Linked DNA regions of Rhinolophus ferrumequinum. The protein of the gene in region 1 purifies or fractionates together with the protein of each later gene. This does not show direct contact. Links are inferred from orthologs where the notes say so. Each region holds a gene or a part of one and is shown on either strand. Other genes may lie near its edges. The genes, in order: SLC30A2 and METTL9.

The links.
Region 2: the proteins of SLC30A2 (region 1) and METTL9 purify together in Homo sapiens (co-immunoprecipitation; 3 studies listed by BioGRID and IntAct, with this or other methods). This does not show direct contact. The link is inferred for Rhinolophus ferrumequinum from reciprocal best matches to the Homo sapiens genes SLC30A2 and METTL9.

The regions. Positions count from the first base shown.
Region 1 is NC_046292.1:17,837,074-17,853,194, reverse strand, and holds the start of SLC30A2 (proton-coupled zinc antiporter SLC30A2), read left to right. Parts: upstream 1-7,981; 5' UTR 7,982-8,778; coding exon 8,779-8,828; intron 8,829-9,490; coding exon 9,491-9,711; intron 9,712-10,826; coding exon 10,827-10,973; intron 10,974-11,661; coding exon 11,662-11,815; intron 11,816-12,540; coding exon 12,541-12,715; intron 12,716-13,430; coding exon 13,431-13,536; intron 13,537-14,644; coding exon 14,645-14,779; intron 14,780-15,199; coding exon of another isoform or gene 15,200-15,216; exon of another isoform or gene 15,217-15,260; coding exon of another isoform or gene 15,261-15,406; exon of another isoform or gene 15,407-15,529; intron 15,530-16,121. Other genes in the region: E3 ubiquitin-protein ligase TRIM63, read left to right, coding at 2,067-2,135, 3,231-3,241.
Region 2 is NW_022680357.1:16,851,870-16,868,741, forward strand, and holds the start of METTL9 (protein-L-histidine N-pros-methyltransferase), read left to right. Parts: upstream 1-8,294; 5' UTR 8,295-8,457; coding exon 8,458-8,622; intron 8,623-16,872. UniProt on the Homo sapiens protein: Protein-histidine N-methyltransferase that specifically catalyzes 1-methylhistidine (pros-methylhistidine) methylation of target proteins.

The DNA.
Region 1 (16,121 bases):
GCTTCCAGGACTTTTTTCCAAGTCAAGTTGTTGTCCTTTCAATCTTAGTTGTGGAGGGCACAGCTCAGCTCCAGGTCCAGTTGCTGTTGATAGTTGCAGGGGGCGCTGCCCACTATCCCTTGCGGGACTCAAGGAATCGAACTGGCAACCTTGTGGTTGAGAGTCCACTGGCCCATGTGGGAATCGAACCCGCAGCCTTCAGAGTTAGGAGCATGGAGCTCCAACTGCCTGAGCAACCGGGCCGGCCCAGCTTCAGCTTCTTAATGTGATCATCTGTGATACTCAGGCACCTTAATTTGTCTATACCATATCCACATTTGTGTTTATAATTACTCTTCCATAAAGTACTTATAATAATTGTAGCAATGTATCCAAAACAACTTTAAGGGGGAAATATTAAGGGAAAATGAGGAGACTGGATGAAGAGCGAAGATGTTAATAATTTGCTCAAGGTCACAGTTGAAAGGTAGCTATTTAGCAACAGAGAAAGAGAGGGTGGATCCAGTTTTGCACTGTTCTGATAGGTGTTGCTCCAATGACCAGGACAGAGAGAGAAAGGTGTGCGGGAAGAGGGAAGAACTGTATATGGGCTGGCGTGAGACAGAAAAGCTTCGTGACCCCTGTTTTTGTCGGCTGTCCCGCAAGCTTGCAGAATCTAGTGTTACATCTATTCTCTGAGCCGCAGATGTACCCCATTCGTGGGTGAGGACAAAATGCGTCCCAAAGCTGAGATGCCAGCAGACTTGGGTATAACCGTTGCTGTAGATCACCTGCTCCACGGTTACCTTCCCAAAGCTAAGATAGTCTAGAGTGGATAATACTGTGTGAACAGTATGACGTGGTGATGACCAGCACTGCCTTCCAGAATCTCCCTCAGCCTCAGTTTCCTCATAGGAAAATGGTGAGAGAACCAACAGCTACCATTTATCGAGCACTTTCTATGTCCCAGGCACTAAACCCTTGACATAAATTCTATAATTTAAGACAACTTCAAGAGGTAGTTTCTGTTGTCATCTCCATTGTGTACTTGGGGAAATAAAGCCACAGCAGGCTGAGAGGTCTGCAGGAGGCCACGCAGCTAGTGGAGCCCTCGCTGATGCCACTGAGGGCCATCTGGCTCACAAGACTCTTGTGAGGATTGTAGGAGACAATGAGTGTCTGGTGCTTAGCACAACACTTGGTACATAGTAAGTCCTCAGCAAACGCTGCTATGAGTAGTTAACTGCGATCATGATTAAACAACAGCAACAAAACTCCCTGGGTTATGCACGGATCCCAGCTAGCTGGCTGGAATTTGGGCTATCATTTTGGAGGCATGAATTCTTTCAAGCCTCTCCTCAGAAACTCCCGACACATGCTCTGATTCTGTGGCGACTCCCTCAAGGCCCCAGAGGATTAAAAAGGCCGCTTGGGAGAGGGGTTGGGTGACACATTTCCTGTTAGCAGAACTGGAAGGTGATATCCCTGGAGGTGAAGCGAGGACACAGGTTGCAGCTCAGTCATGGTCTGTCTGGGGCTCAGCTTCAGAGAGCTAAGGAGCAGGTGGCCCCAGAAGTGCACCCCACCCCTCTGTGGGCTGAGGAAAGAGGAAAAGTGGGCAGGCAGTGCTAGGCAAACACATTTCAAAGGCTGGGCAAATTTCTTCAAGACAGGAGTCTGGTCCCTGAGAATCCAGGCGTTCTTGTCCCATCTCCACAGGTGGTAGTTGTCTATCGAGAGGTAGGCAGAAGCCTGTGTGCCTCTCAAAGTCCCCTCTGGTCACAGGCAGATCAGATAATAGATGCCACTGCTGCTACTGGAACAAAAAGAGCCTTTGAACCTCTCTCCCTTGGGGGGAGGGGCGGGTGGAAGGAAAGGGAGGGCTGAAGAAGGAGGAAGCCCGCTTCTGTACAGTTGGGGTTTGACAAGCCCATCACCTCCTGGGCAAGTGATGTCCCTGCATGGCCGGTGGACTCGGCTGGGCGTTGGAGTATTTGGATCAGTGCTGTCTCCAGCCTGGTTCCCCTTTGAGCAGCTCCTTGGAGAAGCCGGCCCATCCTAACACTATTGTTCTTTGTCACACACAGATGAGGAAGAAGAAGAGTTCATTGAAGAAGGTCAGGAAGAGGAAGAGTCCACGGAGGGGAAGGAAGAAGGTAAGAAATCCGTCTACCTCCATGCTTTCATTCGTTCATTCATTCATTCAACCTCAGGAGACGCTGATTATGTGCAAAGGACATTGGGGAGGGTGCCAGTATGTGATGTTGTTCCCAATATGTGTTCTAAACCTTTTAAGGTTAAAGACCTGCTCCCTTTACCTTTAGAGAAAAAAACAATCCAAGCTATTCGTGATAAAACGCTCCCATTTTATATCTAAATGACCTTCCTATATGGAAAGTAATACAGAGTAACAGAAATAAAACACACGACACTCATGAGCCAGGCTTGGTCCACTGAGGTGTTTTGTTTGGCCAGCACAATGTTTAAATTTTTAGAAATTAGTTTCCAACATTTTTTAAGTTAGATTTTTCGAAGGATTTTTTTTTAAAAAGGAGATTTCAACTAAGAATCTGGATTTCCACCTTCTTGTGAAAATTTGGAAAGAGCTAACAATGCTGAGCTTGCCCTTCTTCCTCGTCCCAGAGAGCCGGTGCTGGGCAGTGGCTGCCCCTTTTGGATGGGACGTGTACTTGCCAGTTTGCTCAGACCCACCACTGTCAGCCTGCCTGCTTTCCAAATTCACGTCATCTGCTGGCCCCTGTAGGCATCTGAGTTGGCCAACCTGCCAGAGTATAGTTAAGAGTTCTGAATTGCAGCTTTATCACAGACTATTGCTGTCATCTGGAGCAGTTCACTTTTCTGAATCTTGGGCTCCTTACCTATGCACGGGGGCAAAATAGTACTGACCACAAACGTTTATGGTGGAGAGGAAATTAAATAATCACTTAACACAGTGTCTGGCACGTAGGAAGGACTTGTTTCCTAATTAGCAAACATTTCCTAGTGCTATTATTTTTCAAGTCAAGTTATTATTGGAACTAAATTCCAATCCTGAAATATACAGAGTGGACTTTTGGAGCTGTGTATTGGATGTGCAATCCACAGTGCTGTGGTAACTAAATTCTATGTTGGTTTGAAAGGAAGCAGCCAGGCAGGAATTGGAATTTGATAATTTTGTCACTGCAGCTTGGTAGGCACTGGGTCCCTGAGTCCCTCACCTTTTGCTTCTTTGTCTTTTTTTTCTTTTCCAGGACATCAGTAAGAAGCCGGATGAGGAAGAGACTCTCTAGATGCAGAGAGACTGGGGAGGGTGGGGATGGGCCCAGCTGCCTTGGTGACAGGCCCAGGGTGGGAGGGGTCGGGGCCCCTGGAGGGGCAATGGGAGGTGTGTCTTCTCTTTGCTCAGAGAGCAGGGGACTAGGAGTAGGGCCCCCACCGCTGTGTCCAGCAGTCACTGAAACAGAGTTGGAAAAATGCTTGAAACAACCACACAGGACACTTTTCTACGTTGGTGCAAAATGGAATATTTTGTACATTTTTAAAATGTGATTTTTGTATATACTTGTATATGTATGCCATTTTGGTGCTTTTTGTAAAGGAACTTTTGTATGATAATGCCTGGTCATTGTGTGACTGGAGATTGTTAGACAGAGGAGAAGGAAGCCAGGTTGGTCGAGCTGCCCACTTCCTTTCCTCACTGGGAGAGCTGGGTAGCCCTCACAAGCCTGGAAGGGATAACGTACTGTATTTCAATGCCCATCCCTGACATAGGGGATAGCAACTGAGTTTGTGTTATATGTTGTTTTAATAAATGCACAGCGCTCTCTTCCTGTTATTACCAAAGGAGTTGGGGTTTCATTCAGCCTTTTTTTTTCGGAAGAGTTCAGGGTGGCAGGACAGTGGCCTGATAGGAAGTGTGTGACAGGAGGGAGACGGTAAGTAATGGCAAGGCTGGTCCCACCTAAGAAGGACCTCTTTAAACCAGCATTTCCCAATGAGGGCTCCATGGAAACCTGGCCCTGAGATGATCTTCAAGACGCAGGTTTAATGCCCCTGGTTCTTTGGTTCTCCAGAAAACAGAGCCTGAGGCAAAGCCTAAATGTTTTAATCGAGGTACAACCCCAGGGCAGCCAAGGTGAAGAAAAGTGGAAGCAAGGCAGAAAAGGAGGGAAGCCAATAGAAAGTGTAGCATTATTGAGCTGGCCACAGCTTCACCAGACACCCGGCTGCTTGCTCAGTCATGTGAGATGTTTCTAGCAGGTCATAAAGAACACAACTGATTCAAAGCAGTCAGTTCATCAGAGAGAAGAAGGGAGAGAATTTTGTCTGTTGGCTCCTTTTATCTCTTGTCTCAGGATTGAGGTTTGTCTCCCAGGGCTTTAATTCCCTTGCATTTCCAGGTTGTATCACTTGGCCTCTTCGGGCAGCTGCTGGGGAAGCTAAGCTAGATGGCACAAAATCAATTGGCTCTGCAGGTGGTTGGAGGAATAGAGCTTCCATGGTCCAGTTGGGTTGGGCATGGATGCTGGATCTGCTGCTGGCCCCTCTGCAGTGGGCACAGTGGAGACTCTGCTGGAGCCCACACTTACTCCTGGGAAGGCCAAGACATCCGTCAAGTGCTAGGGGATGAGGCAATAACCAAGGCCAAAGTAGCACCAAGGCTTTCCATGAACCAGGGGCCAAGGGGCTGGGAGAGAGATGAAGCTGAGTAAATTGGAGATGGTGCATTAATTGGGTCTGAGACACCTTGGACCTATAAATTTAAGAAACACTGCAGAGTCTGTCCCACCTTTTTGACATTCAGTACACAGTAGCAAGTTAAGGGCTCTGAGAAATCCTGCCATAAAGAAAGCTATTTAACTTCAGACAATGACTGGTGCTTCAAATTTATGGTGTTTGGAATACTGCCTGATACATGACATCTTAATACGTGACATCTTCTAGAACAACTGGAGTTCTGTAAAACAACTCACTTTATGAAAGTGCTTTAAACCCTCACACCTCTGCCCATTTTTCCTTCTGGGAGTTTTTCCAAGGCTAACTCAGTCCCTAACCTTGAATTTCAAGGAGTCAGATTTTGCTGTCATTTCTATTCCTTTCTCCAGTTCTGAAGCATTGGGAAAAAAATGTAATGTTACACACAAGTGTACAAAACTAGTTGTAAAGCTTAATAAATTATTGTAAAATGAAATCTTGTGCTGTTACCATGCAGGTCAAGAGAAAGGACATTCCCAGCCCCCAGAAGCCCTCCAGGTACCCCCTCCCATCATAACTTCTCCTTCCGCATGGAGGTAGCCACCATCCTGTCCTTTTTAATAATAACACACTTGCTTTTCTTTATAGTTTTATCTTCTAAAGTATCATCCCATAGAAAATTGAAGGAATTTGAGGCCAGAAAGCAAGAGGCTTTTATCACCTTCAAATCACAAGAATCAGTATTACGAATCTAGCTACATTCTATCTCCAGATTTCTCCAGGTTACTGATTCCATCAGAGACAGGCATGTCCATCTACTATCTGTCAGTTAGCAGAGGGAGGCAGGAGGACAGTCAAGGCTCCGTAGTCAGTTAAAATTTAAATTCCAGGAAGATATCTGTTAATTGCAAATAAAAGGATCTCTACTTTGCTACATGAAAGGCTCTGCCTGTCTTTGCAAACCAGAACACAAAAGGGTGGTATGAAGAGTGCTTGATCAGGCGGCCGGCCCAGTGGCTCAGACGGTTGAACCGCAAGGTTGCTGGTTGGACTCCCACAAAGGATGGTGGGCTGCGACTCCTGCAACTAACAAAGGCAACTGGACCTGGAGCTGAGCTGCGCCCTCCACAACTAAGATTGAAAGGGCAACAACTTCACTTGGAAAAAGTCCTGGAAGCACACACTGTTCCCAAATAAAGTCCCCTTCCCCAATAAAATCTTTTTTAAAAAAAACAAGCTTCCTTTAAGATCATGCTGCATGGGGTGGCCGGTTTGCTCAGTGGTTAGAGCAATAACACCAAGGTCGCAGGTTCGAGTCCCACATGGGCCAGTGAGCTATGCCCTCCACAACTAGATTAAAAAACAACAACTTGACATGGAGCTGATGGGTCCTGGAAAAACACACTGTTCCCCAATATTCCCCAATTTAAAAAAAGAAAAAGATCATGCTGCATGAGAGAAAACTGGCTCCAAAGAAGTTATTCCGATGAATCTGAATACAGTTCCATAGGCTGCTGCATTAGAGTCACCAAAGAAGGCTTACTTTTCTTTAAATGTTTAATTCTGGAAAATTTCAAACACATGGAAAAGTAGAGGGAATAGTACTCATATAATGTACCTTCTATACCCATCACTCAATTTCAACAGTTATTGACAAAATTATTTCTTCTCTACCCTTATTAGTCACTTCCCCCACTGGGATTATTTTAAGGCAAATCCCAGATATCATGTCATTTTATCCTTCAATACTTTAAAGATTCTTTTTAAAATCATAGCCACTATACTATAAAAAAATGAACAATAATTCCACAATAGCGTCAAACAGAGGTCTTAAAAATATAGATTCTCAGACCCCACCCCAGACCTACAGAATCAGACTCCGGTTATAGAGTAAGGGAATCTATATTTTAAAAATGAGATTCCTTAGGTAATGTTGGGGTCTGAGAACTGCTGGGTCATTCACATAGGACCTCTTAGGAATCTCTGCCAGACCCTGGTATATAATACAAGTGGACCTGGCAGTTTTCAGTATATCAAAGTCTTGAATAATTAGTCAAACTCTTACAATTAAAATGCATGATGGGAAAGTATTAATTTGAAGGAAATCTGGCATAAAAGGTTTTATAAAATGTGTATGTATCTGGATCCGATTTGTAAATTTGCGTTTATTGAAAATTTACAATGTGCCTTGCATTAGAGGGAACAAGAAGGACATATAAGATGCACTTTTTAAAAGCATAATGTTTTGCCTTCAAATAATTTACAATATTTATTCATCTGTGCACAGGGCAGTTTGAAACTCCACACAACTGAGATGGCCCAACAAGAAATTCCTGTGAGCTGCACCTGCGTCACTTACTCTCATCTGATGAGTGACCAGCCTGATATTTGTACGCATCTTTATTTCACGCCAATTCACAGGTATGTAATTAAGCGCCCCGTAGGTGCTCAGAGCTGGATCAAAATGTAATAGAAGTACAAAATACATCCCTGCTCTCAAAGAGCTTATAATCTAAAGGGGCGTATCTGAGATGACCTGCAAGACTTTACGCAGAGGTCCTCAAACTTTCCTGTACAGAAATCCCTGGAGAATCTTGTAAATATGCAGATTCTCAGGCTCCGCACCCAAATGCAGGGAGCTGGCACCTGCATTTTCACACTTTCTCCAGGTAGTACTGAGTCTCTTGGTCCTTAGACTATACCAGGAAAGCCAGGCAGCCTGAGGTCAAGGTTTTCCACACTTAGAGTCCAGAAATGGAGAAGCTAAATTTCAGGCACGTGTGCCGCTGCCACCATTACTCCTCGCACTTAGTCTCCTAACAAGATGACTCTTGTTTGGGGGACAGATTCAAGGAGTCCCTCCTGGTCACCAGTGGTGTGTGCTCTTGTCTCTGTAAGGGGCCATACCCAAGCCGTGGCCGCCCGACCAAGGGCGTTGGGGATGATGGGGTGATTTGCTAGGGAGGTCACCAACCCAAAGTGCTTTCTATATACAGTGCACCTATCAGAGGCCAGCGTCGGGGACCCCTGAAAACCCCTGTGGAAGGACTTAGCTTCCAGAGAGTGGGCTACGAAGCCGGTACAAAGGACTGGCCAGCTTCTCCCCGCGGGACACCACGCCTGGCACCTTGCTGGGGCTCCTGTGAGCTGCTGCGGGGCCAGGGGAGAAGGGATGGTGGTGGTGTGAGCTTTGCCCAGATGGAGACTGCTGCTGAAGCGCGACACTGTCCTATGTAGGGGGTGGAGATAAAGCCGGTCACCCCAGATTCTAATCGGAGCGCGCAGGTGAGAAACTGGCGTTGTTTCCGTGGCAAAATGGATCGGGCAGTTCCAACTAGTCAGTCCTAAAGAGGGCCACAGCCTCGGCCCGAGGAGAGGCAGGCCCCGCCCCCAGGAGCCCCCTGCCAGAGCCGAACACAACCGACCTTAGGCGGCTGCAGCCTGAGGGTGGAAACCGACCAAATTCCCAGGAATCTCCAGCCTGTGGGGAAGACACAACCCTAGCCTCAGGAGCCACATTCCTGCCCTCCAGGGGCCCAAAGCGGATTTCTACAAACCAAGGTCCAAGAACTTCTTGGTGGGACGCTGCCAGCCCCGGGCGGGGGACAGCGAACGCAGCCAAAGCCCAGTCCTAACTCAGTGGAAGCAGTTAGGCTTTTCCTTACAAGCCAGATGGGATCCCCGGGCCCCAGGGTGCATGGGACTGGTGCTCTGGGGCAGCTTCGGAGCATCCATTGCAGCCGGCCACCTCCTCCCCATACCCCGCGGGCTTTTGCACACGACGCGCGGCGGGCCGCTTCACACGGGGTGGCGAGGGCGAGATAAAGCGGGCAGACGCGGGACGCGGAGAGGCGGGAGCGCTCTGCGCGCAAAGCGGGGACTGGAGCCGGACGATCCCAAGGCGACCCCAGCGCGGCCGGGGCCCGAGCAGGCGCGAGGCGGAGAGGTGGGCTGGGGGAGCGAGTAGGACGACGGGCACGGCGCGCGGAGCTCACCCCGCAGGTGAGTCCGCGCCCCCGAGTGTCCCGAGCGCCACTTCCGGGACTCACTTCACCGGGCGTCCGCGCGCCGCTTCCCGACCTAGCTCCCGGCGCGCGGGGCCGCATGAAGGCCACGGATAAGCAACATTTGTTGGACGCCAGGCGCGGAGCCCGGTAAGGCGAAAGTGTGGGGAAGGGCGAGAATTTGAGCAGCATCAGACGCACCTCGTTTGCTATCCTGGGATGGTTTGGGTGGCTGTGTGGCGGCTTGAACTGAGACCACACAGGAGGGGAGGAGAAGGGGAAAGGGGAAATCCAGCTTGGCACCGGGATCATCACTCCCTCACGTACAGATCCTGCCTGACCCTTGCCAGCCTGTCTGGAGTGAGAAGCCTAGAGCCCCGCCCCCGGCCAGGCACTTTGCCCCCGGGGCAGCCCGGGCCTCGGAGGCCCTGTGTCCCCAGGTGCGCGAGATGGGGGTTTGTCCATCTTCCCGAGCCAGAGCTCTGTTCCTTCTCCGCGCTCGGGTGGACCGCCCCGCCCCTTGGCCAGTTCCCAAGGTCTTTGTCTCCTCCAGGCCCTGGGAGGGATGGGGCAGGAAAGAACACCTGGGCCAGTACCCCTAGACTCCTGCAGACTGGTCATTCCCCTAGTACCCACCTGCGAACACAAGCTTCTGGTCACTCCTCAGGGACTTCGAGCTTGGAGCACCCTTATCTCTTCTCCTAATTGGACACATGGGACCTCCAAGGCCCCACAGAGAGCTAGGAGTGGAGTCAACTCTCCTTGCCTCCATCTCAGAGCTGAGTCTCCTCTTTCTCTTCTTCTCTGGCCAGTTCTTATACGGGATCTCTGTGGCAGGATGGGGCTGGCTGGGTTTCTCTGCCTCCACCTGGCGTGGATTTGCCAGCCATTGAGCTGGCTGTGGAGAGCAATCATTACTGTCACACTCAGAAGAGTCCTGGCAGTCACTGTGACCCCAAGAAGGAGCGGGCCCGTCGTCAGCTTTATGTGGCCTCTGCCATCTGCCTGGTGTTCATGATTGGGGAAGTAGTTGGTAAGGACTTTTGTGCTAATTAAATGAAATTGGCTTGTAGATAGTCTGGATGATCTAAAAGACTTTTCCCCTGTAATGTAAGCCAGTAACATTAATACAGTTGACACTTGAACAGCGTGGGGGATTAGGGTCACCGACTCACACAGTGCAAAATCCACATGTAACTTTTGACTCCCCCAAAACTTAGCTATAGTCCACCCTTTGCATCTGCAGATTCAACCAATGTGAATGGAAAACGGTATTTTCCTTCCACAGTTGGGAATGTGGAATTACTCTTTCTCATCGGGGAGTTGGTTGAATCTGCAGATTCCAAACCTGCAGATATGAAGAGCCCACTGTACTTACTGAAAAAGATCTAGGAATAAGTGGACAGGTGCAGTTCAAACCCATGTTGCTCAAGGGTCAACCATACTATAGCCCCATTTATCAGACTTTCACTATGCTGTGTTTAAAAAAAGATTAATTTTAAATTAAAAAAATTTTTAATTAATTAAAAAAATTTAATTGAGAAAAATTTAATTTTTTCAATTACCATTGACATACAATATTATATTAGTTTCAGGTATACAATATAGTGATTAAACATACCTTATGAAGTAGTCACCCTGATAAGTCTGGTACCATCTGACACCATCTGTTATTACAGTATTATTGACTATATTCCCTATGCTAAGTCTTTTATATGCACCTATCTTATGCAATACGCACAACAACCTTGTGCTATCATATGGGTGCTGTCAGTCTCCTGATTTTACAGATGATGAAAGTGGCACATCAAGTAATTTGCCCAAGATCACACACAATTAGTAGGTAAGGGAAGACCTAAATGCCTAGAAGGAAAGAACATTTACTGAATGCCTGCTATGCTTTCCAGGCCCTATTTGAACTTGATTTTTCACATTCGCCTTCTAAGTAGATATTGTTAGTCCTGTTTAAGTTGAGGTACAGAGAAAGTAAATCACTTGCCCATGGTTACACAGTGAATGGGTGGAGAGGTCCCGGTTCCTGTATCTTTCTCCAGAGTCCATGGTTTCCCTGCTACACACACAGTCTGGGAAGTTGGCTTCTTGGAGAGCTGATAAGGACCCTCCACCCTCCTGGTACTGCCCCTGCAGGTGGGTACCTAGCACATAGCTTGGCTATCATGACCGACGCAGCCCATCTGCTCACTGACTTTGCCAGCATGCTCATCAGCCTCTTCTCCCTCTGGATGTCTTCCCGGCCGGCCACCAAGACCATGAACTTCGGCTGGCAGCGAGCTGGTGAGAGCACTGGTCTGGATGGGGGTGGGATTGGGAGAGGGGTGGGTTAAGACATGGGTTCTAAGGTGGCTGCAATGGTGGTGGGTCCCTGAGTGAGACCAGGAGGGTGGCTTGGGTGTGGGAAGAACATGTCAACTTTGGCTTCTGTCCTCGGGGAACTCCTAGTCTACAGGGAAGAAGAGTTCACCTTCCTAAGAAATGAAGTGGCAAACTTCAAGAATAAATGACTATGGCATTAACTCTGCACGTAACTCCATGTATCAGCTTGAGGGGCAGGAAAGCTCAGCCACGCCTTCTTGGCTGAAGAAATAGGATGTAAACCCTCTTTAGTTCATCTCTGGGTTACATTCTCATTTTCGTCTTGGTGGGAGACGGCCCTTCCTCTCCTCCTCAGAAGCTTCAGTTTGCCTGCTGAGCAATAGTATATATTTTAATAAGTCAGTTTCTTTGCATGTAAAACAAAAAGGTTTGACCCATGTGACTTCTTAAGTACCTTCTAGCTCTGACATTGTCAGAGGTATGAGTGGCACGACAGGGTACAACCATGCCAGCTACACGTTCAGCAGAGCCCATTCAGACCCAGGCCCTGACTTTGAGGGGTGGGAGTGGGGGTACTGGAGGGAAAGAGAGATCTCCTCAGCCTTAGGGCGCCATGGTAAGATTGGTGTTGGGGTGGGTTCTTCCTCAGAGATCCTGGGAGCCCTACTCTCCGTGCTGTCCATCTGGGTCGTGACTGGGGTACTGGTGTACCTGGCAGTGGAGCGGCTGATCTCTGGGGACTATGAGATCGAAGGGGACACTATGCTGATAACAGCAGGCTGTGCTGTGGCCATAAACATCATGTGAGTGCGTCCTCCCTCCTCCCGCTTCTCACATGCGTACTTGTGCTTGATCTTGGTGGATGCCGGCCAGGCCACACCAGTACAGGCTACCGGGAGAGTTTCCCTGATGGTCTGAGCTCTGGCACCTGGAACACCTGGATCCTGCCTAAGGCCAAGGCCATCGGGAGCTGTAAGTCTGGGGCAGCATCAACTCCACCCCTGCTCCCAGATACATATCAGTGAATAACCTGGGAGGCTTCCTATCTGAAGTGGGGAGGGGTGAGTCTAGTTCTTGCAGGAGCAGATGTCCCTAGGGGCAGAACACAAGTCCTTTTTCCAGCTGATGTGCCTGAAATTGGTGTCAGAGAGAGGCAGGGTATACAGAGCATCGGTCTCATTTGGGTTCTTTGTCCCTTGCTCAGTGGCCTTGGGCAAGCCACTGCCCTCTCTAGGCCTCAGCTTCCCCATCTGTGACATGGTGGGGGAAATGATAACCTCCATGGTACCCTCGTGCTCTGAGATTTGGCACTGGGGCATTTTTGAGCCCAGACTCAGCCTGGCATTGGAGGTGAACCCTTTGTCCTGTGGCACTCTAAGCCAATGCCATGTGGGTCAGGCTCCTCACATGGCCAAAGGGATCGGCAGTCTGGGGGTTGGGATTTTTGCTCCACAGATTGGCCAGACCTAATGGGTGGTCTCTACCTGCTACCTCAGTGAGCCCCTTAGCTTTGTCTCCACTTCTGTAGAATGGGGTTGACTCTTCACCAGTCTGGCCACGGGCACAGCCACAGCCATGGAAACAGCCACAACCCCAGCCAGCAGCAGGAGAACCCCAGTGTTCGAGCTGCCTTTATCCACGTGATTGGAGACTTGCTGCAGAGCTTGGGTGTCCTGGTGGCAGCCTATATTTTATACTTTAAGGTCAGAGCTGGGGACAGAGAGAGGTGGGCTGGAAGGGGGGGATGGGCAGAAGAATATAGATCGTCTGGGGGCTCCTTCCGCACAGGACCCCTTCTAGATTCTAGCTCCCTCCCATCTCTGGGCAAAAGAAAGCGTGGGGAGAGGGAAGGAACATTTATCCAATTTCTGATCCTCACAACAACCCTGTACTGGTGTTTTTCGCAGCTCAGAAAACGCTCAGTGACCTGCACTGTGTCACACAGCTGGTAAGTTGTGGAGCCAGATTCAAACCCAGCACTCTGTGCTGCCGAAGCCTGGGCATTGCCCGGCACAGAGAGGCAGTGTGGTGTATTTGAAAGAGCCGAGGGTTGAGGGTGAAGTCTGGCTCCAGTCCTTGCTAGCTGTGTGATGTGGAGTGAGTCCCTTGCTCTAACGGAGCCTTAATTTCTGGTAAAATGGGGACATTGGACTAGATGTTGTGTAAGATTCCACTTAGCTCTGTCCATGCCTCAGCCCCTTGGTCAAGGAGGGGTGGGAAGGAACTATGCCTTATCCTGAACTGTGGTCTGTCCTGCCTGCCTTTCCGGGCATGGAATAAGCTGGGAGGCAGGGCTAGGGTAAGACTCATGTCCACCCCGCCAAGAGCCCCTCTTCCTGACAGTGCGAGGTGGGAAGGGAGAACAGAAGCTGATGTATAGGTGTTGAACCCCAGCTCTGCCTTCCCTTTTTCCTGTAGCCAGAGTACAAGTACGTAGACCCCATCTGCACCTTCCTTTTCTCCATCCTGGTCCTGGGGACAACCTTGACCATCCTGAGAGACGTGATCCTGGTGCTGATGGAAGGTAACTGGGTTTGGGCTCCCTTTTTGCTCTTGGCTCTCCTGCTCTATTGAAGTTCCAGGGGTGGGCGTAGGGGTCGAATCCCAGCACATTGATGGGGAGCCAGGCTCTGGAGCCTGGCATAGGCTGGAGAACCTCCTGGGGCCCCAGGCAAATCTTGGCATCAAGCTGGGCCCTCAGGTATGGCCATTCCTGGAAATGTCCCCTGGACCATGCCTTCCCTTCCCCCTAGGCCCAAGGGTGCCTCCTCCCTGCTGGGTGTCCTCCTTGACTAGTCACTTGGCTCCTGGGTGGTATTTGCAGCACCTGGCACTTCAGCCCTTCCCCATACACTTCCTCTGTCTCCATTTGCTTCCCCTCAGGCAGAGTGAGGGGTGAAGATATGCTTCCCATTGCGGAAGGGAGGCGGGCAGACTGAAGCTCAGAAAAAGACAGTTGGTGTTGGACAGGGCTGCCGAATCCACTCCAGCTCAGGCCTTTTTTTCCAAAGCCCTGGTGGCTGGGCTTCGAGGGGTGCCAGGTAGTGGTGAATAATCTGCTCTGAGTTACCACACTCATTCACCTGGCTTTCTTGTGCTCCAGGGTCTTGGGTCATGGGTCTCTGTGTGGGCAGGGTCAGCCTGGATTCTGGTCTGGGGTCAGCAGGAGTGTCCAGCTGCAGGTCAGAGTTTTTCCTCCAAGAATGTGACTGACTCAGATAAAAGTGATGGTCAGGATGCCCCATGTGGGTGCAGGGATCTCCAGCTGCCCTTCTTTTCATTCCCAAAAACCCCACAAAACCTTTTTTATTGAGCTCCTGTTATGTCTGGGCACTGTTCTGGGCACTGAGGGGGATAGGATGGTAAAGAAAACAGGCTGTCCTGCTCTCATGTGGAGTTGCCGTTTTAGAGGGGGAGACAGACAGAAAACTAACAAGTGAGATAACTTCAGACAGTGTTAAGTGTGGAGAGGAAAACAACAACAAAGTGATACGATGGGGCTCGTTTGGGAGATGGGGGAAACATCACATCTGCTGGCCAAGAAGGTCTTCTCTGAGATGACATTCGAGGAGCAGGAACCAGCACGGGTGGAAGGGAGCAGTTTCCTTCAGCCCCATCCCTGCCGTCCTCAGGGACGCCCAAAGGCGTGGACTTCACAGCTGTGCGGGATTTGCTGCTGTCCGTGGAGGGGGTGGAAGCCTTGCACAGCCTGCATATCTGGGCGCTGACTGTGGCCCAGCCCATGCTGTCTGTCCACATTGCCATTGGTGAGTGGTGGGGACCCTCCGGGTAGGGTGTGGGAGAGAGGCAGCCAGAAGCCTGGGACGTCCCTGATGGGTCTAGAGGACCCCAGACGCTTGCAGTGCCCATGCTTTGAACCTGGCCCCATGCTGAGTGCTTTGCACACATTATTTAATTTGATCATCACAATCCCATTTATAGATGGAGAAACTGAGGCTGGGGGTGGGGTGAGATAGTAAAGTCACTTGCCCAGGCTTTTACAGCTCATAAGTGGCAGAGGAAAGCCTTAAAGCCTGTGTTTTTCCTGCTGTTTGGGGATTGTGCTAGGTATGGGAACCAAGTTGCCTGGGGCAGGGGTGAAATCTGGGGTTTCTTAATGTTCATGGTCCCCTATCCTGTTCTGCTGGGGGTAGGGGATGAGAGTCAGTCTCTTGATTGTTCCTAAGGGCCCAAGAGTGAGTAAACGGTTCTCTGGTGCCTTCCCTGGTGTGTCCTCTTGGTCCCCAGCTCAGAACACAGACGCGCAGGCTGTGCTGAAGGCAGCCAGCACCCGCCTTCAGGGGAAGTTCCACTTCCACACCATGACCATCCAGATCGAGGACTATTCTGAAGACATGAAGGACTGCCAGGCGTGCCAGGGCCCCTCGGACTGACTGCCTGGCCAGGTGCCAACTGGGGCAGGGACAGGACCTGCAGATGGCAGGGCCCAGGGTCCCCCAGGTCCAGCCAGGACTCTGTTTACCCCGTCTGTGTTATAAACGATTTCCCTCTCCTGACCTCTGCTCCATGTTCAGTGTGGAGGAGCCTTGCCCACTCCGGGAATGGGGCTTTGCCCCTGCCTCCCCAGCTGATTAGAGCCAGCCCACGGATGGGGACTCCAGGTGGCAAGTTAATGTGACCCGTCTCTTCTGGCTCCTGGGTCGGCTCCGGGTGGTCTGGCTTTGGGTCTAATCCTCAGCCAATGCTGTCCTACCACCAGCCTCAGGGAAAGGCAGTGAGGCACATGATGGGTGCTGGAGCGGGGAATGGCCTTAACATCCCCTTACCTAGCCATCTCATTTCCTGTTTTCAGTCTATCTGGACTTTGTCTTATGAATCTGTGAAGAAGTCCAGGTACAGAGTCCCCTCCCTTTGTCTCTAACAACAATCTGATTTAAGGAGGCCGTGGGGGTTGGGGCGTTGTGAGGATCGTGCACTCTCTTCTTGTCCCCCTGAAATGGGAAGCCAGGGGGCACCCAAGTCCTGTCTGTGTGGTAGTCACTTCGGCTGTGAGCCAAGCATTTCCCTTTCCTAGAGGGAGGAGGCTTCTGACTAGGTAAGGACCTGGCTGGTTTCCTTTGTCCCTATTCCCCCAGCCCAAGAAGTTGT
Region 2 (16,872 bases), on another chromosome or scaffold:
GGCGACTCAGGCTGCGGCTGAACGCTAGGAGGCAGTAGAGCGTTGTGTGAAGACCGCGGGCTCTGCAGTCTGTCTGCTCCAAACGTCTGCCTCAGTCGTTACTCTGCGGTGGGAGGGAGCTTCTCTGCCTTGGGTTGTGCTGTAAAAAACAAAGCAAACAAACAAACAAACAATACATACATATATATATATATATATATATATATATATAAAATATATATAGTGTGTGTGTGTGTGTATATATATATATAGTTATAGTTATATATAGTTATATAGTGTATATATACCGAGGGTGCCAAAAAAAGGTACACATTTTAAGAGATGTTAACACTTTGGTCAGCGTTGCTCCAGCAGTAGTTCGCCGTCATCAGAAGTGTCTGGACGCTGATGGGAACCACTTTGAGCACCTTTTGTCATTGCAGAAGTCAAATGTGCCTTGTATTCTTTTGTTATTGGTATATATTAATACAGTTTTTTCCTTTCTTAAAACGTGTATACATTTTTTTGGCCCCCTCTGTGTATTTTATTTATACACACACACACACACACACACACACAGGCATCAGCCTCATAGATTGTAAAGAGGATTTAGAAAGGTGACCCTTGGTGACCACTTACTGCGATGTCTGGCACCTCATATGTGCCGCCGTTAGTGGCATGTGTGGTACCCGTGCAGTGCTGTTGAAGGAGGCGCTTTTTCAGCAAGAGTGAGGTTGTGACCCCGATCTAGACTTTCATGGGGTAGAACCAGGGCTGTTTTCATTTCTAGAGTGCTTGTCCTCTCAGGTGCTTCCCAGGGGATTGGGCCAGCCTCCCGCTGTGACCAGCAGGTGGCGATAATGGGGAGGGTGATGAATATGGGGGAGTAAGAAAGGCGAGGAGTTTGGTTTCGGGTCATAAGGTGCTGACAATGTGTCAAGCACCCAACTCTCGAAACAATAGATGTCTCCACTCACAAACTTTGGTCGCAGGTTTGTACTATCTGTGGTGAATTATGTCCTATTTTATGGTGAGTTACGGAACTCTGAATTTGTGAGATTTGTTTTTACAGGGTGTGGGGCGACACAGAAATTATGCCACTTGTCTTGTGTACTGTGCAAGTACAGATATGTTTTTCTTAGCCCACGGGGGGAAAAATTCCACAGAATTCATAATTCACGAAAGAAAGTAAGCAGGTGAAGGAACAGATGCTACAACTGGAAGGGGCTTTAAGCGTCTGGTCCAAATCCATTACGTTTCGTACCTGTGGCCTTTATTAATTACCATTTTCACAGACAAAATAGTGAGGTCATGTGGTTTTCCAAGGTCACGTGGAAAATATCATGGCTGTAACTAGACTTTGGTTTTCCTGCCTGCTGGTGCAAACGCTCACCCTGTTTTGGATGGTAAAGATGAGGGCTGGGTAAACTGACATGGGGCGCAGGGACCGGGAGTGTGGTGGGTGCAGCGACCTTGGAAGAGACCCACAGGCCCACTGGGAAAGCCTCATTTCTATCCAGTGCACTGTTCTGCCCAGTGAGGTCTGATAGCTGGGTGAAGGAAGGCTGGCCGGTCGTCTTCAGTTCCCACACGGAGCGTGATGTGCATCCGTCCATCTTCTGAGGTTTTGCTGGCATAGAAGGGATGGAATGAGGGACATGGCGATTTAGGATGACGCCAATGGCTGACGTCATGGAGCCTTGATACAATGGATGCGCCCACCTTCATCCGCATAGACACAGGCTGCCTTGAGCGGAGGGGGCCAGGGTACCGTCTCCGGGGCTGGGGATGGAAAGCCGCTACCCAGTCAGCCTGCCTGTCCGTTGCTTAGGTTTTCAGAGCTGACCCAGCTCTTCCCACCCTCCACCCGCAATGAGCCGTTATTTCTATAGATCTGGGATCAGCTTCCTTCAGTCAACTTGCACTCAAGTCTTGGCTTGGGGACCTGCCTTTTTTCAAAGTGACTTTGTATCTCTTTGTTCTTATCCATTATACGCATGCTTTTAAAAAGTGTGATCCTCAGAAAGCAATTTGATTTCCTTATTTTCAAAAGTTTTTATGGCAATTTTATCATCGACTCCATGTACTGCCTACCACATCAAAAAGACCTGACTTAAATTTCTTTTTCTTCAAACATCCTTAAACAGATGTGTCGAAAATATAACATATTTCTGATACAGATATAAGTTCTAAATAGGATAAGAGAGTAACTAACAAGAGTTAGCTGTCCTCCAGTGTGACGTGATTCACCGTGTGTCAGGATGAAAATATGCCCACGAATATTGCTGCTGCTTACAGTTCAGTAATGTAGAAACTCTAGTCTGCGAATCAGTCAGCATGTCTGAGAGTCTGGAAATGAATGAATCCATTGAGCTGTCAAGCCCTACAGGGACAACTTAGGTTTTGTTTTTTGCTTTTTTCTGAAGACTCGTTCCGTTGGACAGTCACGGTGACTGTAGATGTGGGAAAAAGTATCTGTAGACATGTCTCCTTACAAAAGCAGAAACCTAAGGCAATTGGTTTAAAATTGTGAGATGTCTGAAAAGCAGCAAGTTTGGCTCCAGTGTCATGTATAGTTTGGGTTAGAAAGTGGACTTTTGCTGGAGGGAGAAGAGCCTGCTCTATATTCACAAATACCAAACTACACTTGAGTGAAGTTCTGAGCACAGACAGCACCCCTACCCCCACCCCCACCCCCACCCTGCTGGCCTGGCCTGGGAGGCAGGAGGAGGAAGGTGGAATCTGAGTTCCACTGGCGGAAGAGAAAAGTCTTCATGGTACAGGCAAAGCTGCCAACCTAATATCGGCCCCTGTCATATCTCAACCAGTTTTTCAAAAGACTTGAGCATAGAAAGCTAGTGAACTTCCAAACAACGTCTCTATTGTGGAATAGCTTAATAGCCGCTTTCAATATTGACTTTGTCCATTTGGAACAAAGGATGTTTGGTAAGGGGAGACCATGAGTGGAGAAGAAACAACGGCAGGGGTCTCACCGTGCTGAGGTTTTGGTTATCTAACAGCCAAGCGCCTTTTGCCTGGATTGAATGATTTGGGCACGCCATAAGTTTCCGGCAGATGCTGGGCTAAGTTGTAAAACGCACTCACACGAGTTGTGGCTGTTAAAAAATCAATCACAGTTTTCAGCAGGGCAGGGAGATCATTCGGCCTGATTTTCGGGTTGGTTGATTGCCCCAGTATCTTCTTTCATAAACATCTTCCTTATTCTCAGACCAGTCTGTGGTTGTGCAAAAATAAGATAGTTCAGCAGAGAAGTGCTTCTGTGGTCAGTTACACAAACTCTTTAAGGTCGCTTATGTGTATGTACGAACATATGCGCCCTGTCCATAACATGTTTGTATTTTGTTTCCAAAGCTTGCTCATCGTGCCGTGCACATTTCTTCATGTATTTCATAAAAACCATAAAGTTGAATGTTTTATAGTCACAAAAGAAGGCTTTATAGTCTCAAAATAAGTCTATGAAAACACAGTGGCATGGTTTCTGTGATTTACAGTGGTGGAGAGGAAGCAGCCATTCATGAGGCCAAACCCACATACATGCAGGAGACAGCAATTAAGCGGCCAAGGACAGGGATGTTTTGAAAATACACTTAAAACAAGATGAAAGAAGATCTTTGAACCTTTGAAAATGCCCCAGAAAGTTAACGAAAACAACAGCCTCCTCTCTCTCATCAGAGCTCTGACTCAGACCTGCTACTAGGAGGACCTTGCGGAGTTGAAATGTGTATGTTAAAAACCCACATATCCCTTGAAGAGGCTTACACTATTCTATGTTCCCATTTCTTTTAAGGATCCTAGAAGCAGTCGCGTACAGGCACAACGGAAGCACACAGGTGGCTGGTTTTAAAGTAAAGAAACTGAGGCCCAGGGTGGGGGTTTCCATGGGAAGAGCAAGTTTGCTGAAGACACTGCATACGACTCTTGTTTGACTCGAGTTGTACCACCATCGGTTAGATGGAATTAAAAGATTTCTGACCCCTCAACCTTGAGATCATGAAGAAACTGATTTGTTTGCTGGAGTCGGGGATCTAGTTGAGTGTTAGGCTGCAGGACTTTCCTTAGTGGAATTTGTCTTGTGGGACGTGAAGTTTAAAGTGGACGCTGGCCCTGAGCTCGGGGACGACTTCAGCAGCTTGTGCAAAGAGAACAGACACGTTTCCTCTGAGCCTTGTGGTTCCATCGTAACAACCACGCCCGCTGTTTGAAAGCAGCCTGGGGAGGGGTCACTGCAGTCCAGAGGAACTTGGGCAACTCGGAAGCTCTCCAGCTTAGCACGATGTCAAAACGAGGGCCACAAAGCCACACGTCCTCGGGGCAGCCTTTCCTGACCCAGTTAGGTCAGCTCGCTCTGCTCTAAGTTCTCCTAACTGTATACAGTTCCTAGCACTTAGCAGTTGTAATTGTGTGTTCATTTTGTGATTGCTTGGACGGGTCTGCCTCCCTACTAGACAGCGGGTGTGAAGGTGACACATTGTGTTGATTACGCTTTCCATTCTATTTAGTCCAGCAGCTGGTGTATGGCACGGGACTCAATAAATATTTATTGACTGTGTGAATGTGGTATTTCTTTGTCTTTCTGATGTTATTCCTGACATAAACTGAAACAGGTATGACATTGCCATGGGAGGGAGAGCGCGGGGGTCAGAAGCTTTCAAGCGGGTGCAATTCTGTGGCTGGCACAGATGCAGACAAATGGGCCATCTGGGGAGAGTTCTGGTTACCTCCAGAAAGACAGGCACCCCTGACAAGGAGGTGGCTTGAGTTTGCTGCCGGATTTTGTGACTTTAGGTTTGAAAGTTTCATTGTTTTGTTTTAGGTTCCCTTCCCCCACAACCATCCTCACTCCCTCGGTTCCAACTTTCAGGAAGGGGTCTGGGAACCGACCCGTCATGAGGAGCTGTTATCACTGGCCTCTATGGGGATGTTTCATGGAACAGCAGCTTTGCAGAGCTCACTGTCACATTAGAACTGAGTCTCCCTATTGCGATAACCTTGGTTGATGTTTCTACAGTTGAGGAAGCTTTCAGATCATCTGTGTCTCAGAGACACAATGTGAAGTAGTCCGCTCAGAACCATGGCCCTCAGTGTATAGCTGAGGAAAGGGAGGTTCAGAAGACGTCGATTTACCCAAGTTACAGTACAAACAAGAACAAGTGAACGTTTTTTTGGAGAGCTTACTCTGTGTTGGGGCCCTCTGTATTTAGAACATATCATTTAATCCTCTACACATCCCCACAAGATAGGTAACCATTATTATCACTCCCATTTTACAGATGGGGAGACTGAGACCTAGAAGTCATTTGCCACAAATTGCTTAAGCAGGAGGCGTAGAGCCAGGCTTCAAACCCAGGTTGTCTGTCTCAGGAGCACAGAGGATGAACCACTAGGTATTCCCACTTCTTGTTCAATTTTGCTGCTTTATTTTGCCATTTTTTAAAAACCTGTTTGCAGTTCCACCTTAGCTTAGAATGTATCAGTCAGAGACCATTGTGATGTCTTTGCATGATTGAAATTATATCAACGAAGTCCAGTTAAAAATCCCCTACATTTACTAATTTTAAAAACGTATTGAATACATTTACTAATTTTATTTTGTTGATGTGGCCTGTCCATTGGAGGGCACCTCCATTGAATATATTGAGGAAAGTTTGTACCTTTCTCTGACACTCTACAAAACATTGTTAAGAAGTATTAAAACATGCAAGTCCATGAAAACAGGTGATTATATGAGTTCTTTTTAGACTAGTATCTCTTCAGGGAGATGACAAATGACCAATAGTGACCGGCACACTTTGTGCCCTCTACAGAACCAAGTCGCTCTCCCAAGTGGGTTCTCTATACACTAGACTTTGTAATCAAAAACATGAAAATGCCGTAATTTGTAGTCGATAAGAACAGTCACAGCAAAAGTGCCCTTTCTTGAAATCTAGGTAGGTAAGTGATCCGACAAGATTTTGGGCCTATGCACAGAGCTGTGACCCAAGCTGGACACCCAAGCTCCTGGTCAGTAGGGCAGTGAACAGAAAACTCAGCAGAGAGAATGGTAGTTACGTTGTCTTTTGAATGTCACTGCCTACATTTCAAAGCCACATTAGAAAGGATATTGACTCATATTTGTGTGTGTGTGTGTGTGTGTGTGTGTGTGATCTGTGCCTCTTCCCCTGTCCGTGATGGATAATTGAGGTTTTAATATACAGTAGTGACATTCTAGTAGATGAAGGAAAGGGGCAGTCCCGGAGGGCAATCTGAACTTCTGCTTAGTATATTTACTCTTGCTGTTTTTCCTTCCTCCTCATTTGTAATTCAGGAGGCTCTCTGAGAAGAGAAGGACAGCGAGGCTTCTCAGATGGATCGAAGGACCATGAGCTGGGATACCGGTTTCTTTGAAAAGGTCTGCTATTGAATTTGCTCTGCTACTTTTAGGCAAATCATTTGGTCACGCTGTGCTTTGGTTTCTTCCTGTGCTTGCTGGGTGTAAATAACATGTGTTGGAGTATTTTGTGATTATTATAGAGTATGATAATATGGAAATGATTTATTCTTCCAGGAGCGCTGCTCAGGTGAGAAGTGAAAATCTGCTCTTTTTGAGATGCTGGGCTCCTTGGCAGTCACCTGACCCTGTCCTTCAGACTCCAGAGCCATCTAGTTGCTTCTTGCTCATCTGACACAATTTGCAGACTCTGAGCTGCAGCTCATCAGGCTTAGAGTGGGGGGCATTACCTTTTGTTTTCAGAAACGAAATATGTCATTTTATATGCTCTTGCTGCTTTCACCCCTGTCTAAAAGATGAAGGGTTTCTTTTGGCACAGAGCTGCTTTATCTGTGACACTGATCCCAAGAGACAGGAGGGAGAGGAGACATGGTAAACAAACTGAGGTATTTGGACGTCCTACCATAGATCCTTTTTGATGATTTGGGCCAGGATCACGAGAGGTTTGAATTAGATTTAGTAAGGTGCAAGCTCTTTGGGGTTTTGGCAGGAAGCAGTCCCAGAGTATAGTGGAAGAGAACGCAAAGTACCCTCCCCCTTTCTTAATAGCCTACGTAGCATTAGGCAACAGGATGTCTCTGTTAGCGATAGATAGGTGCCAAGCTGAGATTCTCTGAATCTAATAAAAACGTCTGTGGGTAAGGAATGATTTTGTTCCGCATCAGTGGATGTATAAATGACAGCCTCTGAAATGCAACGTTGGCGTTAACAGGTTTCTTTTGAACTAAGATAAAATGTATATACAGTATTTCTAGAGCAGTTAAATCCAAAGCATTCTCTAAGCAAATCGAGGAAGGTGTTCAACTTCGAGAACCCATGAAACATGTTACTCCTTGGTTGCAGCTTGGGTAGCAGCAGGAAGAACTTCAGACACAGGAACACAGTGTAACCCTTCAGGTTTGGAATGTTGCTACTAGGTCTCCCCGAGCTATAAATGATTAAAGACACATCCGGGTAAATACCAGCTCTTAGTTGGCTTTAAGAGTGTCGTGCCCAACTTCCGCCTGTTCGTTCCAGGAAACAAGCAGCCAGGGACTCCAGTTTGGGGTCTTCCTTCATTCTTGGACAGGGTCATCAGGACGTCAAAGCATGACCTACAGGTGCGCCAGCTGCAGTAGCTTCCAACAAAGGCAGAGCTTTCACTGAGGCCTCTTAGAAACCAGTCGCCTGCAACTGGCCTGGCTTGGGGAACGGGACGCGGTGGTCTGCCCTCCGCCCCCAGATGCCTGCCTGCAAAGCAGGCTGGAGGCCCCCGGGGTGAGGGTCTGGCTTGTTGGCTCTGAACGTAAATAGGAAGCCACGCAGCTAAGCCAGGAACGGCGACGAGCGGGCAGCGTCCGTCTCCCGCAAGGACTCAGTCTGATTGTCTGGTCCTAGGAAAGGAATGCGCCGCCGCCGCCTCTGCCCCGGACCAATGGGCACAGCAGGGTTCAAGTCCGGCCGGGGTTGGGATGAGCGGCCCAGAGCCGATCACTAAGGCGAGCCAACCCCAGAATTCCCGCGGCCACCACGGTGGAGGGACCGGGAGGCTCCAATTACCGCCTTCGGAAGGGAGCCTAAAAAAATTACCATCATCGCCGCCATTACGCGGAGCTCGGGGCCGAGGAGAGGCTGGGCCGCGCGCGCCAGGCGAATGCGCGCTCCCTCGGCCCCGCCTCCCGGCCGGCCCGACCCGCTGATTGGGTGGAGGGGAGCGCGCCCCGGCGAGAACGCGCCCCACCGCCGCTCGTACGTGCTCCGGGTGGAAACCCGCGCCGCCGCTGGCGGCGTTCCGCGGGCGGAAAGGAAGGGGGAGGCGGGAAGGCCGCGCGCCGCCCGCCCCTCCCCACCCCCGCCTCGGCCCTGCAGGGGCTGGATGGGCAAGTTGGGCGCGATGGCTCGGGCCCGGGTGGCGGCGGCCGGAGGCGGCGGCGTCTCCCGCTCCTCGCCGCGGCGCCGGCGGTGATCGGAGCGAGCGGCCGCGGTCCCTGATGAGACTGCTGGCGGGCTGGCTGTGCCTGAGCCTGGCGTCCGTGTGGCTGGCGCGGAGGATGTGGACGCTGCGGAGCCCGCTCACGCGCTCCCTGTACGTGAACATGACGAGCGGCCCCGGCGGGCCGGCGGCCGCCGCGGGCGGCAGGAAGGAGAACCACCAGGTACGGAGCGGGCCGCGGGCGGGGGCGGGGGCGTGGCGGCCGGGCCTTCCCTCGCGCGGCCGCCGGCGTGGGGGCGGCGGGCCGCGGCGCCTCGCGAAGTTTCCCGGGCCGGGCGCTCGGCCCGGGCCCCGCGGCGCCTTTTGTTCCCGGCGCGGCGGCCGCGGCCTCCCGTGTCCCCGGCGCGGGCCGGAGCGTGGGCGCCCCGGAGCCCGCATTGTTCCCGCGTCCCAGGCGGTGGCTGCAGACGTGCGGCCCCCTCGGGGCCCGGGGACCGTGGGGGCCCGTGGGCGCGCGGCGGGCGCCGGGCCTCGGGGAGCACCGCCCAGGCCCAGCCCGTCGCCCCGCGCACGCCCCGTGCCCCCGCGAGGCCGGCCCCGCTTTTTGTCTGGAGCAGTCCGCGGTCGTACAAAGGGTCATAAAGGAACGTGGCCGTGCACCGCCCGCCGCCGCTCAGCGCCCCGGGCTCCTTCAGGTGACATGTCCCCGCCGCCCTTAGAACAGGCGTTTGACAGGTCGTCGCTCGCGTCCCACCCGGCCCGGGACCTCGGCTTCCAACTTGGATGTTGGTGCCCGACCCGAAAGGGGTGGTGAGAAGGGAGGGAGGTGATGGGCGCCAGCTCGGAACTGGCAGGGTTTTCACACCGGAACTGGGCAGGAAGGAAATGTTTCAAGAGTTGCAGTTGATGCGATGGGACCGGCTGGGTCGTCTTTTTTTTTTTTTTTTTTCTTTTTTTTTTTTTTTTTTTTTTTTTTATTAGCTTGGTTTTGTGCCGTTTAAAGAAGTACGTGCAGGTCAGCTGTGGAATGAAGAGTGAGAGGTGTCCTGTTTGACCACCAGGTAGTTTGCAGCTCACACGTGACATGCGTTGAAAAGACACGCTGTTGAAGTCTATAGTGTTGGCTTATAGTAGCATTTACAGTACATTTTGCCTTTCCATTTATTCCCCATTTTGTGTCTCATCGTTTTCGTAGACTTCTCGTTTTCTCCTGTGTGGCTTTTCTTGTTATGCTGGGGGTTCAGAGACTTTACACCCACGTTGTCTTTGTGTGTGTGTGTGTGTGTGTGTGTGTGTGTGTGTGTGTTTAAATGAAAGGAAGGAATTATCCAAGGGGCGGAAAGCAATTCATTCAGGAAAGTAGCATTTAGTTTTCAGTTAGCAAATATTTATAATGGCCCGTTTTCTGTTTGTAAAGGAAATCATAAATTTCCATGATTTTTTTTTTTTTTTTGGTAGTCCCACAGCTGTGGCAATTCCTATGATATTGTTAGGTGATTTTAAGTTGCGAAACCACGTTCTTTGCTATGGATTAATTACTTACATTAGTCTTTTTAGGTAAACAGCTCTACTGTAGTGATGACGAACAGTTACCAAAATGTCATATATCCGTATGAAACATGGGTAATGGTGTAAAACAGTGAATTAAAAATGTCACTTTCAGCAGTTGGTTGAAATAAGGTCCCGGATAGGATAAAAACAAGGCTGATTTCCACTGATGTGGAATTATGGTTGAAGGTTTTAGCTGTTGGTGTTTATTCTAACACTTGTGACCACCTCTACTGCAACAGACTGGATATGTTTCGTTGCTCATAAAATGGGACGAATGTTAAAAATCAAAAAACCGTTTCCTTTGATTTTTATGGAACCTAGGTGGAACTATAGCTATAGATGTAGCCTCAGAATATCTCCTTGTAACAAAGGCTACTTTCTAATGTTGTACCTTTTAAAGCTGCATCATCTGTCAGGTTCTAAGGAAAACTGGTGCTGGTTTTGGATACCTCATTTACTTCATTATGCTTTGGAGATACTCAGGAGTGTGTGTCTGTGTTTTAACCAGTGGCACTAACAATTTGGCACCTAATTTCTCCAAGGTGGAAGAGTAAACCGGTGTTTTCTGAATATTGAGAAGGAGAATAGATCTTTTCCTTAGAATGATCATTCCCGACTTTATTTCGAGATGATACATTCACATTATGAAAATGTTGTTCACAAACAAAGCTTAAAATGAACAAAAGAAATATGTATGCAAACCACAGTGAGGTTAAATGAAACAGGAGACTGTCTTCTCTGCTTTATGTTCCAGGATCCTGGATTTGCTTTATAAACTTGGTTGCTTGTGAAGTAACTCAACTCTAATGGTTCTCCCCCCTTCAAATTAATAGTTTTATACAAGGTCTTCTGGTGTTCATTTGGGTATGTGAGTTCCATAGCCAGCCACATCTGGTTCTTTTGGAGTTGCATGAAAGTAAGGTTATGGATTTGATTGAACCATACTTAGCACAAGCTTTCCTTATGGTTATTTTATTAAGAAATTATGATGGAGGATTCTATGGTTAAAAGAATCCTCCAGCACTTGGGCAATGTTTCTTCATTAACAATTGCTATTTAGTTACTGTAGCCCAGAGATGCAAGGCTTCTTTGAGCTAAAGCAGCTCTGAAACTATAGTAGCAGCACCACTGCAATAACTCGGTTTGGTATGCTAGCTTCAAAACTGAGATTATGTTTCACTTGGGGCAAGCCGAGAAGCAGGGAAGGGGGGGGCGGGGTTGGCTTGCAGGCCAAATTGGATCACTGACTTTTTTGCACAACCTGTGAAGTAAGCTATATTTTTAAATGGTTACAAAAAATAGGATGTTTTGTAACACGGGAAAGTTTCTTATGTGAAATTCAAATTTCAGTGTCCACAAATAAAGTTTTATTGGCACACAGCCACCACATTCATTTGCCTGTTTGTGAATGCTTCTGGGCTAAAAGTAAGCAGAGTAGTAGTTGCTACGTTGTGACTTGCACGCCTCAAATATTTACTATCTGATCCTTTCCAGGAAAAAGTTTTTCCCCAGAGAAAACTTGCAGCTTCCTTAATCAGCAGGTTCTTAATCACAGGTTGCAAGGTGGGTAGATTGACTCACTGGGGAGAAACTAGTTATGTCACTTTTCAGTATTGGCAGACTGAACTTGAAACGAGGAGAAACTTTAGATCTAGTCTTTTCGATGCATTGCACCTGGTACTTAAAGTTAATGCAACTATTACAGAGCTACTGAAACTGGAAGGGACCCTCAGGCCCCACTAAGTTCCTGGTAATATCAGTCATTCAGCAGCTTCTCAGGTGATGGACTGAAAAGAATTGTTATAGAACTCCCTAGAACCAAGCCAGGACACTTGCACCAGATGACATACAGCAAGGTGTTTTACAACCGCAGATAACATTCAATGTTCGGAATTGTGAAGGTGTACCTTAAAATTGCAATTGTGTGTATGTATCCTGACTTATTTTTTCACCTTCTTATAGAAGAACTGTGCTATGCCAAATGCGATGATGGATTCAGGACAGAATTGAAATGGTTTGGGTATTTTTTCCAAATGAAGAAATCCTTGGACCTCACAGCCAGAGGTCAAAAGTTGTGCTAAAGGACAGATTGGGTCTCCTGTCCCCTGACTTCCCATGTACCTGTGGGGGCAGACCAAAGTCAGGCATGAGTTAACAGTGCTCGGGGCACTCACCCAGCTAGCCAGCCAAACACTGACGGATTCGTGTCCTCTGAACCGATTCGAGAGTCTGGCGGCCTTTGCAGCCGCTTAGCAAAGAGATTTTGAAAAGGGCTTCTTTCCTTCCTCAGAACCTGTGCTGAAAACCCTAAACAAGTGTTTGCTTCCGTTTTTGGAACACTAGGATCTGTCATCTGCTGGACACACCAGGGGCCTTTTCTGCGCCCCTTTGAAGGTGGCCTAGGAGGCCTTGGGAAGCCAACTCTGTGTGGACATTGATCTTGAAAACACTAGCTGAAGTTTGCAGTTTGTGTTAAACAAGATGGTAACTTCCCGAAAAGACTTGTTTAGATCCTCTGAAGCTTTGTTCACATGTCAGGATTATAAAATACTAACAGTGAACATTCGAAAGGAAGATAGCTAGTAATTTATTTATGAAATCAAATCCGAAGCAACTGAATCTAATCTGTATAAATTGTTCCCTTGCATGGACCTGAGGTGCCTTGTCACCGTACACATTGAAATCTCACCTGAAGAGGTTGTTGGGTTAGCTCCGTATTATTAGTCGAAACATAATGAATGGGTGGACAACCTATTCCTGTGCTGGGCTTAGATGCCCGCAGGGGCCGATGGTGAAATGTGTGGACTGAGTTGATTGCATTGCAGAAACTTGGAGTGCGATCTTTCAGTCTTTGGCTGTCGAGGTGTGTCATTGGGCCTGGCCTGACCATCCCCTGGAGGAGAGAAGGTTCTGGCTCATGGACCCCGTCAGTGGAGCCTTTCTGATGGATTTTAGTCACATTTGATCGCTCACTGCTTGTGAGAATGGCTGGCTGCCCCGCCTGACAGTGTGGTTTTAGACAGTCCCTTGAACTTCACTTTTCCTCTCACCAGCTTTTGTGCATCTTGGACAGGAAGAGGAAGGAGATCTAGTTACAAGGCTTCTGTTGTGTGCCAGGCACTTGAAATACATTATCCCCTCTCATCCTCATGACCACTCTGGGGGGTAGGTGGTACACCCCCATTTTACAGACAGAAGGTGGAGGCCGAGAGAGATGAAACTAGCTCAAGAGCACAGCTCATGGATGACATGTTGGGTTTTGAATCCCGGTCTGTCTGCTTTGCCACTGCTTCGTGATGTCCCTCCTGAGAAACATGTCGTCTGAGGGGCTGTGAAACGAAACTGCCCCACTCGTGGGGCCCGTGTGGACGGCGTATAGCGGCGAGCAGAAACACCAGTTGGAATTTTTGCAGTTTGAGTTGAACAGGTTGGGACAACTGCTCCTGGCGCTGGCCCCCCTCCAGCTTGTACATGTGCTTCATCAAGTTTAATGTCGTAAAAAAAACCAAAACAAATCTTATCTATGTGTCTTTTTTTCCTGACACCAACTGATCCTCCAGTTCTCTGACACCCGCTGGGTGTCCTGCCGTTTAGTTCTATTGTGACACTTACCTACTGGAGTGAGTTAGCGTCAGTCCACAGGTTTAAGGGTTCGGCCCCACAGACCGCCCTGACTTCCGATGCTAGCCAGTCTAGTCGCGGTCACAGACCACCTGTGCTTTGTCTGACTTGGCTACAAATTCTGGGGTTCCCCTCCCCCTCAGGTGAGGTCATTTTCTAGAACAACTCACATAGAGTTTAGGGAAACACTTGATTTATGTTGACTGGTTATTGTAAAGGTACAACTCAGGAACAAGCAAACAGAAGGAGATGCCAGAGCCAGGGTGGCACGTAGCTTCTATGCCCTCTCCAGGTACCGCCCTCCCAGCACATCAGTGTGCTCAGCAGCATGGAAGCTTCCAGAACCCTGTTTAGGAGGTTTGTGGAAGTTTCATAATTAAGCGCAATGAAATCATTGGCTTTTGGTGATGACTCAGTCTGCAGCCCCTAGCCCCTCGCTGGAGGTTGGAAGGTGGGCTGAAACTTTCATCCGTGTCTCATTAACGTGTAGAAGTTACTCTTATCACTTACGAGGAGTTAGGGGCCCTGTGCCTGGAACCCGGATAAAGACAAATATTTATTTTTTATTACACTATATTACCTAAAATCAGGAAGTTGGATTTTAGAAATAACTTTCTAATTCTACTGATGTGCTCAAATCCTTTCTACTATTTTGGAATAAATGTCTTACAGCTAATGTTTGACTCGTTGAGGAAAATAACTTCAGAAAAGCTTTTAACTGTATCCCTGAGTCTGATACGCACATACATTTTATTCTTTGAGGGGGTGATTCATCAGCCAAGGTTCTGTAAAGACCAGGACATGCTAAGGGGTGTAATGAAATCTGGAAGAGATGACCTGGTCCTTCATCACTGGTTAGCCACTCCCGTCCAGCACGTTCAGGGCTCTGTCGCTTCCTGATTGGGCCGTTTATGACTTGGCTAATTATCAGTGTCTTCTCAGTCCTGTTGCACATGGGGAGGGCCTTGCTCTTGCTGCCGTTCTTTAAAGACGTAATGTTTCGTGATCACATCCTGCTTTATCCTTGGCACCAGCAGCTGGCACCAGGGGCGAGACTCGGGGTTGATGAGGGTTCGTTGTTTACGCGATGTCCTTACTTACTTCGATGGAACCACGTTTGAGTGAGCTTTCAAGGAAGGTGGTAAGCCGAGGCCTTTGCAGACACGGTGGCCTCCAGCCCAGGAGCCAGCCTCCCGTGCAGCTGGCACACAGCCCTTAGTGCGAGCATTTCACAAGCCCCGTGCTTGCTTCTTGCCCGCGCACCTTGCTTCTGGGGTCCGTGAGGAGCGCACGTTCAGAGAACTCACCTGCTTGGCGGCGCGGGAGCCCACAGACAGGCCGCCCCGTGCAGCCAGCTCGCCAGCTTCTCATTTAAGCTGGGTTGTCTCAGAGGAAACTCCGGCGGGGGGGCGGGCGGGGGACTGCAGGAGCAAAGTGGCCGCTCATGTAAGGTCCTGGCCAAACTCATAATCCCGTTACTTGTTTCTCTTCGTTTCTGACCCTCTGCCCCCTGGAGTGTAAGTTCCGAGGCTGGTGACTCCACCTTTTCATTTCCTTAGACCACTGCTAAGCTGGGCTGGTTAGGAAACACTCCTGGAGTCAGAACCGTGACGTTTCCTGGGGAAACCCAGGTAGGGGATCTTAAGCAGTGGTGACTTTGCCTGCCAGGGGACTTTCGGCAAAGTCTGGGGCATTTGGGGTTGTCACAGCTGTGGGGCGGGGGGTGCTACTTATATCTGACGGACAGAGGGCAGGGCGGCTGGACATGCTGAACGCACAGGGCAGCGCCGTAGCAAGGGTTCGCGGCTCACATGTCAGGGGTGCTGAGTTGAGCAGTCTTGGCCTGTGATAATTTATTGCCATCGTGATCAGATTATCTTTTCTCTAAATACATCTAGTCCCATTTGACTGGGCAGGATTGTCTCGCTTTCTCTTCTGAAAGGGAATCTCAAACAGACATGCTGGGTAGAGGTGAAGAAAAGCTTCTTTGAAAGAAAGTCTTTATAAAACAACCTGTACTTCAGTCAGGAACTGAATCGGCCAGAGCTGCTCAGGGACCCCATTATTCAGACGCTGTGCGGTGGTGAGTGAAGAGCGGAGCTCGGCCGGGTGCCCCGGGCAAGGCAGGTGCTCAGCCGGGCCACCTTTGCGGCGTGCTCGTGGGAACGCAGTTTTGTGACGCGTGGGTACATTGAACTGCTGTGTGCAGAGCTGGATCTAAGCAACGCCTTGCAAAACCCTGGGGGTTTTAGAAATCGACAGAAACCCAGTGACAGCTGGTTATCCTTATGTTCCCTCCAGGATTTTGCTAGAATCTCCAAATTCTGTCTGTCAGACTACCTGTGATTTTTAACAGTCATTCACCTGCTGCACATTTATTGTTCGTCTGTGTCTGTGCAGGCTCTGAAGTCCATCACGTCCCTGCCTTACGTGACTTCCCGTCTTCCTGGGAAGATTGACACTGACCATGCAGTTATGCGTGTTATTCAGTTCAGTGGTCAATATGCTGCTGGGACGTAGGAAGGGCGTTAGAACGGGGGCCCAGGCTCGCGTACAAGTTCAAGGGAAATGCAGCGAAGACATATTTGGGCTTAGGTCGGACTCATGGGGGAAGAGGGAGTAACTTTGGGGTGGTGGGACATGTAGGGGACAGAGCAAATCCCATGTGAGACAGCCGTGCGAAAGGAGCCTTCCAGAAAAAGAAGGGAGGAGCGTGTGACCTAGTGGCCAGGCGTTACGGGTTGGTAGGGACTGTCATGAGGTGAGCTCATACTGACTGAGCTCTTTGGATTTTATCCTAATACTTCTGGGAAGCACGGAAGTGACACGGTCAAATGTGCATTAAAAATTTGCATTTTTAAAGAGGTTTGCTTGGTCACTTAAATTTTCAAAGCACTTTGAATTTCTGGAAGATCAGAATGCCTAGATGTGTGTGTATGTTATTTTTTTTTTTTTAAAATAGCAGCTTTATTGAGATATAATTCATATACCATAAAATCCATCCTTTAAAAGTGTACAATTCGGTGGTTTTTAGTCCTGTATGTTTACGGGTTTTGCAGCCATCACCACTCTAATTTCAGAGCATTTCCAGCACCCCAGAGAGAAACATCGTACCCATGAGCAGTCGCCCCCCCAACCCCCACCCCCGTCCTTGGTAACCCTTGTTTCTGGAGCCGCCTATTCTGGGTAATTCATGTAAAGGAGCTCATGTAACATGTGGCCTTTTGTGACTGGATTATTCACTTAGCATGACGTCGTCAGGCCCATCCATGTTGTCACGTGTACCTGTGCTGCATTCCTT